Linked DNA regions of Oryzias latipes. The protein of the gene in region 2 purifies or fractionates together with the protein of the main gene of each other region. This does not show direct contact. Links are inferred from orthologs where the notes say so. Each region holds a gene or a part of one and is shown on either strand. Other genes may lie near its edges.

Region 1 (5,214 bases), on a different chromosome or scaffold from region 2:
AAACTATTTGTATCAAGTCTGTTTTATTTATTTATTTAACTTATATATAGCTTCTTCTAAAACAGTACAATTTAAAAGTTTCATTTTCCTGACTGGAAATTCTACATCTAACCTTTACTTAAGTCAGTTAAGAACCAATTCAAATGTGTGAACTGCTAATGATGAGATCTGCAAGTCCCTTATGGAAATGTTTTAACGTACACTGTTCGATTAAACACATTTATGCAAAGACATGATTAAGAAATTCACCTAAAAACATAAAAAAGCATTAATTAAAAGCAAAACTCACATGATTTTAATCAAAATATAAAAACCAAAGCAAAGCATGGCTCTATTATGACTTAAGTTTAATTATCACGACATATAATAAAATAAACCTCAACATTTACGAGTAAGGATATTCAATAGCATCCAATAGGAATTGAGATATTGTCGCTTTCAATCGTTTTTCTATCATTTAAAATGCTATAAAGCAACTCCGAAGGAAGTGTAGCGCAGAACCCGCGAGCGTGATGTTGCTAGAAGGTTCTAGTAAACTTCATGAGCACAACTGAACGTCAATCATCACAGGGACTTTTCTCGCCCTCAACGTTTGTCACTGTGACAAACTAAACAAGCTTTTCAAACAATCGTCTAAAAAAATATACAGACAGAAAGAAACAAAGCAAAGCATACAAAAAAATCCGTTAAGGGCAAGCGGCTAACCGACAGCTAACACAACACATCGCCCAACTATTGAGACCGACGTAAATTTAACAAACTCATCCAAATAGACAATGATTTTTTCTTCTAAAATAATACTTTGGCCAAGACATGTTTCTTACCTGTTCCGTTAGATCCATTCTGGTTCTTCAAATTCCACTCAGTTTTGTCAAGCAGCACAGCTCTTCGCAGTGAGGAGTTCTAACAATTTGGTTTGGCCCTCTTTAGAATTATTTCCTGCTGTTAAAAGTTCCTTTAATCTCATTACTGCCACCCAGTGGTTGGAATAAGTAAGATCAGAACAATACACAACAGTAAGATATATTTATTTTAAATTTAGCAGATTTTACGTACTGTAAATTACTAGTGGCAATATTTATACTCACGAGTTATTTTTTATTTTATTTTAAAGCAGCTATTTCTATTTAGGGTGAGTATATGACCTGACAACAAAAACATTTAGCAACTTGTATCACTGGGACACTTTATTTATTTTTTTTTAGAAATACCATCATGTTCAAATTAAACACCATAAATTAATCCTTTAATAACACTGTGAAGCTTCAAACAGCCGTGTTGAAAATTACACAGCACATGAATGCTTAATGATGGCTTTAACTTTTCACATCAGTAGATCATTCAGAAGCATTTTTCTCCACAATAAACACAGTGTTTGTGTTTATTACCACCACATAAAAAAGAAGGAAAAAAAAAACAGGACACTTTTGTACAACAATATTTATTATGTTTTGTTTTTTTTTACTCTTAGTCGAGCTTAAATACTCAATATTTGCATTACTTCTTTAAGTTCACACAACATTCTAGAAATCTGCAACCTGCATTGCTTTGTTAACACACAATCTTACAGACGAATCCAATAGACCACATTCACCACCTTGCCCTGAGAATCCCTGACATCTGGTTGTGGTCAGCTAGGTGTCGGAATACAATTCGACTCAGTCGCCACCTCCGCTTCACTCCTCGGGGCCGGGAAGTCATCACACACCTGTTGCGTATCCTCACAGGGCAGCTATCTCTCGGGAGTGCTGCAATTTCTTTGTCTGCTATCTCCTATGAAGACAATTAGACAGGGTTTAGGGATTGTCCGCTACTGGTGTACTTTCAGCTGTTTGACATATATTGTGTGTGCAACTAGAACTTTTGTAAAATCGTGACTCTTTAAATAATAAGAGCATACTGTCAAACTTATGGTGTGGCACAATGAGGAACTAGTTGTAAATAGGAAGCTGGAGCCTACCTGAAGCTCTTTAGGCAGGATAGTATTCTTTCTTAATGCATTGATCCGTAGCCTTTCATCTGCATAATCGAAGGCCATCTGTCTTCTTTTGACGTCCCTCAGCATCCTCCAGTCAACATAATAGCTTCTCATCTGCTCCACAGCTCCCCAGCAGCTTCTTAGTGCCTGCACACAACACACATCAAGTTTCTGACAGGTTTCTCTCCATTTACCACACATTTGCAATCTATTTTCTCTGGTTTTAAGTTTTCACTTGATCTTAGTTCTGTAATGCAAGAGGTGCTTGACAAAATATTGTAAAAGAAGTCTGTTTGCGATCATCAGTTTAAAAATAATTCCTTCTCATTTTGCGGGCTTGAAACAAGTGGTCCAATAATCTCTTTTTTTATTGCTTTGGCACAGTTAAACTAACACTGTTATAGCAGCTTATAGAGTACACCAAAACAAGATAGTAGGTCATGTAAATCGGACCATCTTTAAAAAAACAGTAATGTAAAAGATTAAAAAAATGTAAATGTTTTAGGCTTTTTAAGACCAAGAATATAAAATTTAGTATTACAAATTGACCACTGACAGAGAGAAGTGTATTTGGTTCACTGCTTCATCATTGGTTTAATGAATACAAATATCTCTACTTTTTCCATAAATGTTCTTAACGTGTTTTTTTTAATCATGTTTGTCATAATGTCGGATAAGTCAATGTCGAACCCTGATGCAAACGCAGGCTCTGACTAATTGGTTTATCAGAAATGTAATGAGAGCTGCCTGTACCGTCTGCAGAAAACGCAGCAAAGGGAGAGGTCATAATAATGTCAGTCGATGTTCACAATATGTTAACTTTATACAAAAATGTCAGTCTCTATTCTACAACAGTTTTAAGATAAAGTTACTCTCAATTACTGTCTATCCTCCTCAACACAATTTGAACAGTAAAGGAATTTATTATTAAAGTTAAATTTCGCAGCAATTTTATGTCTCCGAGTTAGCTAACATAGTCCAGGTCAAAAAGAGTTTTTGCACCCTTTATTTGAAACTACATGGGGCGATTTTACAAAAAAAAAAAAAAAACATAGGTCAAAACGTTAATACGTGACCTTTACCTGATTTGGTGAGAAGACTGTAGAATAAACGGCATTTAACCCCAAACATGTTAGCCGGCGGGCCGCCATATTGGTTTAAGAGTGTCCTCTTCACGACGTGAGCAGGATATGACCATGGTGAGGCTGAAAGTGTCGCCACCTAACGACCAGGAGGGCGCACAACAAAAACCAGAGCCGTTGTAATCTTTAAGAATTAAATAACCATGACGGTAAAATATGTCTGAAAAATGCACACTAACCAATAATATGTTCTTAAATTTTTATTGATAGTCATAGCTCAATTTTCAACTATTAAGTTAGGTTTAGTGGGAATATAAAACATATAAAAACATGTTGATTCTACATTTCTTTTTAATGTTTTGAATTGGAAAGCAAGCTTTACTATGATAGAAACTTGTCAAAACACATTTAAACAACACATTTTATGGTGAAGATAAGAAAAAATTACAAGACCAATGTGACAATCCTACCAGTAGGTGGCAGTGTAGCGCTTCTGTTTTCAAACCTTCACAAATCTCAAGTTATTATAATTTTGTAATGAAAAAATGATAAATACATTTCATTAAACTTAAATTCAGCAGTTTCGTATTATTATTATTATTATTGTTATTATTGGTATTATTTGGTATCCAACAGAATCCCAAACATCTGAGCTTCAGCAGGATGCCCAGCTGTTTTAAAACCTTGAAGGGTAAAAAAAAAAAAAATACATGGATGCAGATAAACAACAGAAGCTGATTCTATTAAACAATTCTCGTTATTTTAGAGCCTGTAGGGGATGCGTTCATGGTTAAGTATTAACACATGAGGTTTGGGAGTGCTTCCTCTATAAAAAGGAACATTTTGTGGCTGTAAAAGCTGCAAAGGAATTTGAAAATTGAACAAGAGAAACCAGTTCATCTCTGTTGTCTGCAACTGACTACATTTTACACTTTTCATTGAGGATGTAGCAACGTGTCAAATATTTTTTTTTATTTGGATTTAAATGAAATCTAAATGTCTGACTTAAGTTTGCCATAATGGCAAAAAATATTTTATAAGGAAGTTACTGGTTCTTGAAATGGACAAATATTCTTATTAAAATTAAAAAAATAACGGCATCGTCTAGAATAATATATAGTTTATTTGCTGTTGTTTTGTTCCTCAAGGTCTAGTACTCAGTTCAGACTTTTAAAGGAACTATTTTGGGTTCACCAAGAAGACCAGAAGTTTGTGAAGTTATTCCTTATTATGTAAATATTGAGGACAGCCATGGGTCTTAGATGCATCCCTCAAGGACAGAGAAACAAGAGATTTTCGACAAATTTTCTTAAACCTTTGAAAGCAGGAACTGGGTTTTGCTGTGGTTGATTAAAAGTGTACCTCTCTGCTGCAAGCCTTTCAGCATCCTTGGTTTAAACTTTTGATTTATCCCTATTTTTAAGCCCTATTTGGGTAAACAATCCTTTATCTGATTAAATTCAGCAACAGCATCAGACAAAATACAAAGAACATCTGTACACAGACAGAACAAGCAGCTTTGAGGATGTGTCGTTTGATGCTTTCAAGCATCCCGCTGTGGCTTCAAAACATATGAATGTTCAAAGGAGAACATTTCCCCAAACTGGGACTTCTCAAGGTCCAAGACTAAAGTACCTTGTACTCAAATCTTACACCACAATTGTGCACTGATGTTCCAAGACCTCAGAAAGACGTTTTTACACTAAAGTCACACTATGTCAGACTGGTGTGTTTGTGAGTTCAGCGGAGATTACTCAGACTGCTAACCTCATCTATAAAACTGACAGCAGTCAAGTGAGGACGGTCAGCACCGTGACACCATGTAACTTAGGGTGGAAGGACAGGTCACAAACCACAGCATCTTGCAGAACAGACTAAACAAACAAGTAATGCACAGTTTCACTCTCTCAGAAGATACGTTTACATTCCTCCACACGTGGGGCCAGTTGGCTTCGACAGAGAATGAAATCCAAAGTATATTTTGATCAACAATTACAGCTTCACAGTGGGATATATGATCATGACAACCTTTTCTAAGCAATATAATGAATGTAATTTTCCAGTTTCCATTCCACAGTGATAGCAAATTAACTGAATGGGTTGTGTACTGCACGTGTGCAAAAACACAACATTTAAATGCACGCACTCTCTTAA
Region 2 (5,715 bases):
TTAAAACAAATTCATCAATGTTTTAGCAGGACTACAACATATAGATGCTAGAATTAGCAAAAGAGCTCATTTATTTCTGTATTCGAAAGGCAGGTGAAGGAGATCCGTCCAAACCACTGACCTCATTGAAGAGTAAACATTACAGATTAAGACATGAAACATAGAATAGCACAAAGTAGACAAATCCACACAAACCATTTCTCTGTAGATGTCTATCAGATTTGGCTTCTTTGAACCAGCAGGTAACTCTTGTTTGGAACCGCAGGGGGACGAGTCACTCAGTCCAGTTTTCATACAGTCAGTTGTTCATAGGTAGATAGGTTGGTTGGTTGATTGATTGATTTGGTTTGGTTTCTTTCAAGTATTAATTGTAGTCAATACAAGAGAAAAATCACACGGATGTATCAAACTCCTTACAGAGATAATCAACTGCATAGATTCAAACAAACAAACAAACAGAAACAAAGACACACTTAAGACACATTTAAATATAGTGATTATTAACTAAATAGTCAAGTAGAAAGTGATTTAGTGCTAGGAAAAAAAGGAGTTGGAAAAAGCAAATTCATATAATCTCACTCCTATTGAGTTATTTTGTGTGAGAGTTTTGCAGTTTTGGATGATAACGCTCCACCACATGCTGCCAGAATGATCACAACCAGTCTCTAGGCTCATATGGTCTGACCAGCAATGACCCTTGACCTGAACCCCATAGAGCAGGTCTGGGACCAGCTGAAGCAGAGACTCTTTTGTAATAAAATTAAGGGTATTATATTAGTTTAATCTGTGTTCCCCCACACTTCAATACAAAATGTAAAGTACGGTAAAACCAAAGAGCAATATAACACATGCACACTCTGACATGGTAAAATATACTTGGATTTGTTCAAAACAAAAAGGGTCTTGGTTACTTTATTTTTTACATAAAATATGAGATTTCCATGTTCATTTGTCATCCAACATAACCCCTAAAATTTAAATTCAGACACCTGCTCTATATTTATGTTGTCAATGGATAAAGCCACTTCTGTTTTTTCTTTATTACCAAATACCATAAACTTTGTTTTTGTTAATTATAATCAAACCACATTTTAAGTTTCATTTCCTTTTTAACACTTTTAAGTTAGGGTTTTAGATTATCCCTGAACAGAGAAATTTGTCTTCATGTCCAAATAAAACAAACTGCAACAACTTAGAAATACCCCAAACATTTATAATTGAACCTTGTGGAAGTCCACAAATAATATTCATGAGATCAGACTTATTACCTCCAAACTGCACATACTGTATTGTCTGTTTTGTAAATAACTGGTGGGCGATTGCTCTAACCCCATACGCATGCAGTTTAGAAATCGAGATAGAATGATCTATGGTGTCAAATTCCTTCTTTAAATCAATGATAACTTTTAATGTATTTTTCTTTTTGTCAATTGCTGTTGAAATTTCTTCAACTACTTTCATTGTAGCAAAACCTGTAGACCTATTAGAACCAAACCCATAGTGATTCTCACTTAACAAGTTATTTATTTTTTTAACAAAAAAATAAACTTTTAACAATGTCAAAGGAAACTTATATTTATTTCAATAAAATTCAGAGCAAAATGGGAAAAATCACATGGAAATCACATTGTCAATAATAAACTCATTGGACGGCGTCCTGACGTCATCACGTAAGTTACGTCAAAAGACGTACGTTCACGCGGCGGTCCCCCCCGCCATTTTATATTTTCAACAGGCCGAGCAGCCGCAGTACGCAGCCAGCTATCTCCACGTTGTTTTCAGCTCCATTTCCAGCATTTTTATCTTCACGGAGTCTCTTTTTGGCGGTTCTACGTTGAGCCACCGAACCCGCGGACAGTCCCGCTCCTCCTTCAGGTCCATGAACTAAAAGCTGCTGGACTCTGGAGGAGAGAAGGTGAGTGTAAGGGCGCAGTTAGTGGTTAGCTCCATGCTAACGGGAGCGCTACATCCCACGAGCGGAGCAGACGCCTCCGGCTGCCTCCGGACGGCCAAACTCTTAACTTGTACGCAGACCATAACGTGTACTACTGTGGGAGGGGGTTCCTGATGTTCTACTTCTGGATGCATGAAATGCGTTGAACGCGTCCCCCGTCCTGTGGGGAAGTGAACAATAAGCGCGTGAAGCTAGCTAGCTAGTACGGGTATTACGGCTAGCTAGCTAGCTAGCTAGCTGCCCTGACAGCTAGTTTCGCTGCTTCATTGTGTTGCGGCAGATCCGTGTCTGATATCATGCATGTTTTCCTTATCGATCAAGTGAAAGATGACGCAGTTCCTCCCGCCGAACCTGTTGGCCCTGTTCGCCCCCCGGGACCCGATTCCGTTCCTGCCTCAGCTGGAGAAGCTGCCCCACGAGAAGCATCACAACCAGCCGTACAGCGGCATCGCCCCCTTCATCAGACACTTCGAGGTGAGCGTCGCTGTCACGTGCGAGCCTCCGTCCCCCCGATGCCTCTGTCTCACCTTCCTACTGTTTCCCACCAGGATCCTAGAGATGCCCCCCCACCAACCAGAGCCGAGACCCGCGAGGAACGCCTGGAGAGAAAGGTGAGTTTCCTCCCCCCTTTGCACATGTGCTCAAATACAGAACCTGATGGATAAATAAACGGTTTATCTCTGCTTTCATCCAGAAGATTTCATATTTGCGTTTGTTTTGCTTTATGGCAGCTGGCAGTAGCACAGATTCTGTCACATCAACCCAATGAATCATGGGAGATGTAGTAAACTCTGTGACACTGATGCAAATCTCCGGGCTTCATTATTGGATGCACTTTTTACACGGTCTGACACCGGATCCTGCTTGAAGCTACACTTCCACCATTGTTAGCTGGTATTTTGTCAGGGTGAGGAACTGGGGGTGTTTTACAAACTTTTTCCAAAATAAGAGCCATTGGCCTAAGTTGCTGCACAGTAGTGGTGCAGACATTTTTTTTAATCAAAGTGTCTTAAATAGGAAGTAAAAGTCTTCTGTGATCTGTAGTACTCCCAACTGAAACCTGGGCGTATTTCGATGAACGTAGAGCTAATATTCTGGCGATGGAAAATGTTTTTTTTTTTAGAACAAATAGGTGAAATTGAGTAATTTCTCATGGCACACTCAACCATCTCTTTACTATATAAACCTCTAACCTGATCCTGTCTGTGCTGCAGCGTCCACCAGTCGTTACTGTTTGGATCTCTGATTGTGCTGCGTAGATAACGATGGAAGGCATGTATACAGAAAATTAGGATTAAAATTGCATTTGTTAGTATTGTTGTTTGAGAAACTCAACGCCTGGATAGCTCCTTTATCGCTCGCCATTTTTGTTGCACAGATAATGTTATGTTGGGGTTGTAACGTTTCAGTTGAGCGTCTTGAGCCATAAAGGAAATTTATTTGTGAACTTGTGAATTGACTGAAGCAGGAGTTTGGCTGTGAAGCACAGACCTAATGAATGCAGATTCTCAAAGGAGGGGTAGTTGAATTACAGTCCTAACTCCTTCATTCAGCATTTTCTGCCTCGGTGAAAACCTCTCAAGTCTATAGAAATATTATACCAGGCAGGAGCCCAGCACAGGTGCATGCTGGCAGCAGACAAGAAACCAAGTGCGGGATTATGTCAGCTCTGTGCTGATGCTCTGCTGTTGGAGGCTCTGCGGTTGGCCGTCACCATTTTCTTTTCTGTTTCCAGAGGAGAGAGAAGATTGAGAGGCGACAGGGAGAAGTGGAGACAGAACTGAAGCTCTGTGAGTTTGTCACTTTCTTCACGCCGTTCTCCTCAAACGGTGAAAAGCTTTGTGCTCATCCTTCCTGTTTGTTCCATGTCAGGGGACCCCCATAATGACCCCAATGCTCAGGGGGATGCCTTCAAGACTCTGTTTGTGGCACGAGTGGTGAGTATTTGTCTTGGTTCTTCTCACTCCTTGTTCACATCTGGTAATTAAAACCTTTTTGTTTCAGAATTATGATACGACAGAGTCCAAACTTCGCCGTGAGTTTGAAGTCTATGGCCCCATTAAACGGGTAGCTATTGATTATTATTTTTCTGTGTCCAGATTTTCTTCAAAACATGAACCCTTTTGTCTTTACAATGTGAGAAAATTCTCCTGGCTCTTCAAAATACTATAAAAAAAAGTAAAGAGCCGTGCGTGAAGCGTTTTGGCGCCGCTTTGTGCGTGTCGTCGTGCGCTGACTGCATGTCTGCTGCCTCCGCTCTGCCGAGTCTCACCAGGAGTTTTTCTTTTCAGATTTACATCGTCTACAACAAGGGAACAGGGAAGCCCCGCGGCTACGCCTTCATAGAGTATGAGCACGAGCGAGACATGCACTGTGAGTACGGCTGAGGCATCGGCCACCAAAGCCAGTCTGTGTTGGTGTGTGTGGATCAGAGCACTGCTCGTCACTGATGCTTCTGTAAGGAGACCAGCAAACTGAGCTCTGCTCACCAGATCCATGTCTGCTGCTCGTCTGACGTGTGTGTGTGTGTGTGTGGGGGGGGGGGTCTGCTCGATGTGTCGCCGGTGGACTAACAGTTGCGTTTAAAGGGGGGAGGAGTCATTTATTGGAGGCGTCGGGGTGGAGTAACAGAAATGTTTGATCTGTGAACCTGAACATGTTTGCTTGTCAAAGGGCACATTGTCTTTAAGTGTGAGGAGTTGTAGTTCAGTGGAAGAGCCGCTCTCCCGGTGGGACTGTGATGGTAAGCTCAAGGTGGACACCAAACACGGAGCAGGCTTTCTGCCAATCACTCGTCACCTTTAATCATTCAGTCTTGAGTTTGTCTGTCAGTTTGAGTGGTGGTCTTCAACCCTGGTCATGTTGGAATAAGAATTCTCCTGATCCGGATGCCACCAAATGTAAACATAGTCCAGACTCGACCCAATGCTTGAGTTTTGCTTCCTGGTCTGGTTCACACAGAGCCTGCAGGTCTGACCTGGTGACCTATGCTGACCTTTGGTGCAGGCGAGACATCGTCTGCACCAAAGGTCAGCCCAGATCCTGTTCTGCTTTAGACCAGAACAGCAAAAGACTAGACTGAGGGGAAAACTGGAGGTTCTAGATTCTGCTCATGGGGCAGCAGTCAAAAGGCAAAATGGTTTTATTGGTATTCAGAGCAGAAAGTTCTGTGGTAGTTTGGAACTGTGTTTGGAAGAAGGCTGCTGAGTTTTCACACATGCATGAATAGTCTTATGTTTTTGGAGCTTCAATGATAAAAACTGTCATGATTGGATCCGGCAAATTCTGTGAAATTTGGAACCTCTTCAGGGCTTTCACTTCTGCCTAGCTGTGACTGTTAAGCAACAGTTCAGTCTTTGGTTTTGCTGACGAGGTGCTTTTTCATGCCGTCTATGTTCAACTGCGACTTTTTAAAAATGATGCCATTCACGTGCGAAGTTAACAGCTTAAAAAAACAACAAAACAGCAGATATTTCCTTTCCTACCAAACACAAAACATCAGCGAGGCAAGCAAAGAGAAAAGGACCTGCAGGTTGAATCTCCAGTCTGTCTTAAGTAGATGTGTGCCACGACGTTCAATAACTTATTGAGCTCTTTCCAGAGCTTAGTTCCATCAGCGTCTTTTGCATCGCTGCTGGAACCAGCAGGAGTCTGACCGGCTTCTCTGTGAACGTGCTCTCTGGGTCGGGAAAGATGCTCCCTGGTTGGGGGCTGCAAGATTCCATGTGAATGAAGCGGGACCAACAGATTCGTGGGAGGCC
Region 3 (5,734 bases), on a different chromosome or scaffold from region 2:
GTGATAAATTGGAGCCAGGATTTAAAGGAATTTCAGATTAAAATGTTTGTCTCAATGACAAAAAACAAACAGAAAGGCGCACCTGGTTCTTCCCAGCATGCTCCATGATTTTTTCATAAACAATCTCGTTCATGATCTGGAAACGCTTGATGGCTTTCTTCTCTGTGATGCCAACATAAGTCTGCTCCAGGGGCACAGGGCGGAAACTACAAACAAAAATAAAAAAGCACAAGAATTGAGTTAAGAGAATACACACACATGCAGTTTCTGCTTTGAAACAAACCTGTTGTCAAAGTAGAACAGTCCCTTTGCAGGATCCACGCGCAGGCACGTTGCCACATCTTCGTAGTTGGGTAGTGTGGCACTGAGACCCAACAGGCGGACATCGTCTTGGGTCAGCTCCACATTGCGAATGGTCCTTGCGATCAGGGATTCCAGCACAGGACCACGGTCATCGTGCAGCAGGTGAATTTCATCCTATATCGAATTATTTTGGTTATTCTGATTGTCAAAAATGAAATGAATAATACCTTTCTAAATCAACTTACAATGATGATGAGGCGCACTAGCTGAGTGTAAGTACGTTCTCCCCCTTTCCGAGTAATGATATCCCACTTTTCTGGGGTGCAGACAATGATCTGAGTGGCGTTGATCTCCTCTTTACAGAGTTGGTGGTCTCCTGTCAGCTCAGACACGGTGATGCCGTAACTTGCCAATCGCTGCAAAAAAGGAAAGCCGTCACCTCTAAAACCCTCTCCTGAAGCTTGCGATACTCCTTGATGCATGAAATCAACGCTTTTAAGGAAGGGCATGCAGCTTACCTTACTAAAACTTCCCACCATCTCTTGTACAAGCGAGCGCATGGGTGCAATGTAGATGATTTTGAAATCGTCCACGTTGATCGTGCCGTCCATGTTTATATGCTTTCCAATTTCTCTTAACATTGCCATTAGGGCAACATTGGTCTTACCAGCTCCCTGTACACAAAACAATACCAGGATTAATGTTGACAACGGAGTTCAGGATGACTTTCCCGCCGCCTTTGGCTTGTGCAGGGCTCACTCACCGTGGGAGCACACACTAGAAGGTTTTCGTCTGTGTCCATTGCAGACTTGAACAGTTTACTCTGGATTCGATTTAGAGTTTTGAAACCTTCAAACCCAGCCTGAGCATACTTGGGCAACTTGTCGATGGAAACAAGTACCTGATGAAAGATAAGCAACCAAAATTTCAGACACTGCTGCGTTTAAAAGATGAAAGTTTTGTACTTAACAACAAAAGACGCAACAGACGAACCTCGTTGTCAGCGAAAGCTTTGGGTTTCAGGGCGGGAACGTGAACTTCTTCATAACCTTTGCGCTGTTTGCGAAAAGAGCCGTCTGGGAGCTGGCAGCGTTTGTTAGCCATGAAATGACTCCCCTGGGTGAAGGTCAGGTCTTCCAGGTCCAAAATCTGTCGAGGCATCACTGACTGCAGGAAACAAGAACAACACGAAACTCTTGATGGCATCTTCAGAGAAAACAAACCAACGTAACTTCTTATATACATATAAAGTGATAAAAGGCAGTGAAAGATTCCAACTGCTGACTCCTTGTACAATTTACCTCTCCATGGTCAGTGTCCATCGCTTCCAAGTCATCAACACGAGACTTCCTCACTCGCTCTCTACGAGATTGTTCTTCCTAATAAAAAAATATTACTTTTATTATACAAACCAAAAGACTAAATGTTTCTTTAACAAACAACAAATCTAACTCGAATGATGTCCTCCTTTTCCGTCTCTTGCAGCTTGTAGAGAATCTTTGACAGCTCCGGATCAGACTCCATCTTTCCAATGATCCTCTCCTTTTCTGCCTCACTCTGAGCGCTTGCTAGCATTGTACAATACTGAACTGTGGGTTAGAGATGGAAAAAGCAGCTATAAACAAACAAACATACAAAAACAAAAAACAGAAAATGAATCTGATTTAGATCATTTCTCTTACTCATGCGCCGATGCTGACGGAGGATTTTAATGAAATCAAAAGTGTTGAAACCCAACAGCAACACCAGCTGGTTCTCACATTCTCTGTCATCACTGGCTGTCTGTGACACAAAAAGGAGACATCAACGCACCTGGGAATGATTAGAGAATCTACTGTGAGCAGGCAAGGCGGTAAACATACTTTGAGGATTTCTAAGACTTCGTCCGCTTTCTTCTGTGACACGATGGCATCGTCATAGAAACGGCTGAGTTGACGCTGGAGCCAGAAGGCATCGATGTCCCGAGGATGTAAATCTTTTTTCTTCACCGTCATCACGTCACCTGTTTCGCCGAGCTACATGAAGAAAAAGCGATTTTAGAGAAACAAATGAGAAGATGTGACACTGGAAAAGACGAGGATGCAGCTGTTCCACTGACATTGGCAGAGAGTGTGGTGGTCACAACCGCCTCCTCTCCCTCACTGTCTTCATCGGATTGCTCGTCTTGCACTTCACCAAACGGGTTTTCATCCCCTTCCTACAAAATAAGTAAAGATCAGGAACTGGTTCAAACTGTGAAACCCAAAGACTGAATACAAACTTTTCATCAAAATTCAGTCAAGAAAATATTTGATAATTGCTGAGCTTTAATTGGTTGAACAACCATCAATTTAAGACAAAAAAAAGCTCACCTCCTCATCAGATTCAAACTGTACATTGACACCATACGTATCATCAATGTTGTCATCTGTGGAGAAACAACAAAGGGTTCAGATTATTTCAGTTACGCACACCCATCGATTCAGAGACAAACGTGACAGATCTTATGCACAAAAAGTTACCCATATTCTGCAATTCCTTGTCTCCCCCATAGTCTGTGATCTTCTTTCCAAGATTGACCAACACATGATACCGTGTGTCATCTGAAGGTCCCAGAAGCTGCTCCACTTCACGTCGCCTTTCTTTATCCCTGATTTTGTCATTTTTCAGTACCGCTAGTACCTCATCAGCTGCTCCACACAAAATGTCACGTGGCTGCAGACAACAGCACAGGGGGGGCAGGACATCAGCTTTCAGCACTTAACACAATTTTGAACAAGAGCCCACATTTGATTGGCTCACCTGATCTCCTAGAGCTGCATGGATGAAGCTTAGCAGCACTTCATAAGTCTCTCTGGTTTCTTTGGTTTTAGGCTTGTACACAATGCCCACCATTTCATCAATGCCTTCAGACAGAAGGGTAAAACCTTTCATTTTGTTGATGTCATGCCTGTCCTCATCTCTTTTTCGTCTCCTAAGTTAACAGCACAAGGAAAAAACCAGTTAGCGTGTTTTACTTTTAACATGAATACATCTTAATACAACAAGTTCAACAAATTTTGATGCACCAACAAGATGAAAATATTAAATTTAGTAAATTATTTCAACAGTATCATACAAACCATCTCATCTATGTTTAACCATTTTGCACAAGAACTAAAGCATTTTCTACTTGAAATTCTCAACTGTCAGCTTGACAAAGCACCCTATGGTGCCAACAGTGCCACGGCCAAATGTAAACTAAAACCTGGTGTGCGTTATTCTGAACTGACTTGTTTCTTCTGTCTTCCAGGTTCTGAGGTCTGGTCCTCTGAGCCTTGTCACCCATCTTGGTCCCCTCCAGCTTCCCCACCAGGGACAGCACCTCTCCGGTGGGCTCATCTCTCCGTGTGCGGTCAATCAAAGAGCGATCCGCTTGCAACACCAAGTTTGAGTTCTACCAGGTTAAAAAAAAAAGGTGAAAAAAAAAGGTGTGATTTATCAGTACAGCAATAGACAATCCCTTTAGCCCTTTCAACTGTATTTATCCCCTTTTTTAATTCATGAATTAAGAATCCTGCTAAATACTTTTAATTATGCCTCAAGTATTACAGGTAGTAGCAATTTGAAAAAGAAAACAAAAGTCAAAGTTGTGAAAAGACATACACACTATATACACATAATATACACACAACCTCAAATAAATAAGCGAGTCAGTTTCCTCCTCCTACATTTGTTTATAGAAACAACAATAATACTGGGATTATCTTCCTTTTAAATGATTTAAACTATATATTTTTAAGAAAGTTATGGGGGTACGAAATCATAGTTTGCATTAAATAAAAATCTAGATGACGAGGAAAGTATCGATTCGCAGATGTTTATCCACAATGTTAAAAGGAAACTAACTTTTGAAGTGTTACGCCATTCGCAGTGTAACTTTGCTTTGTTTATTCCATAAATTGATAATTTTTCAGTAAGCGTATTTTATTTAGAAACATGTCATATATTGTTTTTCTTTGGCGCAAAGTGTCGTGGCTAACCGAGGAAGCGGCTACACGCGCATGATGGCGAGATAAAAATAAAAATATTAAATGACTTGATTTGTTCCATGTCAGTATGTAAACAGATTTTCAGAAACTTAGTTGAATTCCTCACTCACCGCTTTGTACTCATACTGCAGGCTACGAGCGGTAACATCCGCCATGGTGGAGCCGTTCTTTCAACGTCGTCTGACCACACGTTCTGAATCAGGCCGCCGGGTCCACGGAGTTGAGTTTGCTCTGCTTTCTTCACGGTAAAACTCTGAGCATTGGTACGGTGTTCAGACTTTACACATAAACCAGCTTTCAAAGTCTTTACAAGTTTCACGCACGAAAAAGCGTTTCACCTACGTAACAATGCTTCTGCTGCTAGCACGAGCGCACAACATACAGCGATCGTCTTCCTCTTCCGGTGTCAAACGATGAGAAAAACTGAAATAGAAACGAAGCAGCGCCCTCTAGCGCAGAACTTCTTCTCCTTCTTCTTCTTGTGGTCTTAATAGCGGGAGGCACAAACGACCTGGTGCAATGTCGCCACCTACTTGGAGTGTGAGTCGGAGTGGGGTACAACTGGTCTAAAAGACAACTACAAAGACTACAAAGACAACAAAAAACCCTATATTCTCCTCAATAGACCAACATTGAAATTCTGCCCCCCTCCCAAAAGCCTCATCAAACTCTACCCCTCTTCCTCTGGCAATGGTACACTATCCTCCAGCTGCCACCTTTCTTCCCAATATAATTCAGCAACACAAAATGTGCTCCACTGATTCTTCCCCTTTCCCGCATTCACACAGTCCAGTGGGATGTTTCCCTAGTAAATCTAGTGTAGTATTTAAAGCCGTGTGTCCCATCCATGATCGTGATATCATGATTTGAACGGCTGCTGCCTTCGGGCAGAAGATACAGGACAATTAAAACAAGGACAAACAGATTAAAAAATAGCTTTTATCCGAGAGCCATCGTGGCCTTAAACGCTGCTAAATAAAGTTAATTTATTAGGGAAGCGTGCAATACCTTGACAACATGTAACCTCCTTTTTATATTTTTGTAAATTTTTAATACATTTTTTTTATCTTATATTGTCTTGTTTCGCAGTTTTAGTTTATTTTTATTTGACTTTTTTTTTTTTATTCCACCGGAAGAAATTGCACTGTAATTTCGTTATACATGTACAATGACAATAAAGATATTTTCTGTTTCTATTTGATCTCTGGTGTTTGATGTAAGATGGATACGTTTCCCTACTTTGTCTTGTATACTGAATAGATGTTGTTCTTTCCACTCCCTTTCACATTGTTTCTGCCAGTCTTCTATAATACGCCTTTTAACAACGAAATTTCTATCTCCACGCACCGTTTCAACGCCTGCTTTGCACAAAAATCAGCTATTTCATTTCCCTCCACCACCTATGTGATGGTACCCACATA

The links.
Region 1: the proteins of snrnp70 (region 2) and mrps14 purify together in Homo sapiens (affinity purification with mass spectrometry; 3 studies listed by BioGRID and IntAct, with this or other methods). This does not show direct contact. The link is inferred for Oryzias latipes from reciprocal best matches to the Homo sapiens genes SNRNP70 and MRPS14.
Region 3: the proteins of snrnp70 (region 2) and snrnp200 fractionate together in Homo sapiens (co-fractionation; 3 studies listed by BioGRID, with this or other methods). This does not show direct contact. The link is inferred for Oryzias latipes from reciprocal best matches to the Homo sapiens genes SNRNP70 and SNRNP200.

What each region holds. Positions count from the first base shown.
Region 1 is NC_019875.2:24,412,040-24,417,253, forward strand, and holds mrps14 (28S ribosomal protein S14, mitochondrial), read right to left. Parts: upstream 3,184-5,214; 5' UTR 3,130-3,183; coding exon 3,061-3,129; intron 2,126-3,060; coding exon 1,961-2,125; intron 1,774-1,960; coding exon 1,591-1,773; 3' UTR 1,423-1,590; downstream 1-1,422. Other genes in the region: cacybp (calcyclin-binding protein), read right to left, coding at 825-842.
Region 2 is NC_019866.2:24,779,587-24,785,301, forward strand, and holds the start of snrnp70 (U1 small nuclear ribonucleoprotein 70 kDa), read left to right. Parts: upstream 1-1,710; 5' UTR 1,711-1,915; intron 1,916-2,275; 5' UTR 2,276-2,281; coding exon 2,282-2,428; intron 2,429-2,502; coding exon 2,503-2,565; intron 2,566-3,689; coding exon 3,690-3,744; intron 3,745-3,826; coding exon 3,827-3,891; intron 3,892-3,958; coding exon 3,959-4,021; intron 4,022-4,245; coding exon 4,246-4,327; intron 4,328-5,715. UniProt on the Homo sapiens protein: Component of the spliceosomal U1 snRNP, which is essential for recognition of the pre-mRNA 5' splice-site and the subsequent assembly of the spliceosome. SNRNP70 binds to the loop I region of U1-snRNA.
Region 3 is NC_019867.2:18,374,881-18,380,614, forward strand, and holds the start of snrnp200 (U5 small nuclear ribonucleoprotein 200 kDa helicase), read right to left. Parts: upstream 4,469-5,734; coding exon 4,424-4,468; intron 3,719-4,423; coding exon 3,555-3,718; intron 3,257-3,554; coding exon 3,085-3,256; intron 2,998-3,084; coding exon 2,805-2,997; intron 2,711-2,804; coding exon 2,655-2,710; intron 2,501-2,654; coding exon 2,402-2,500; intron 2,319-2,401; coding exon 2,166-2,318; intron 2,086-2,165; coding exon 1,986-2,085; intron 1,893-1,985; coding exon 1,756-1,892; intron 1,683-1,755; coding exon 1,605-1,682; intron 1,471-1,604; coding exon 1,297-1,470; intron 1,205-1,296; coding exon 1,067-1,204; intron 978-1,066; coding exon 822-977; intron 720-821; coding exon 549-719; intron 478-548; coding exon 284-477; intron 207-283; coding exon 83-206; intron 1-82. UniProt on the Homo sapiens protein: Catalyzes the ATP-dependent unwinding of U4/U6 RNA duplices, an essential step in the assembly of a catalytically active spliceosome. Plays a role in pre-mRNA splicing as a core component of precatalytic, catalytic and postcatalytic spliceosomal complexes.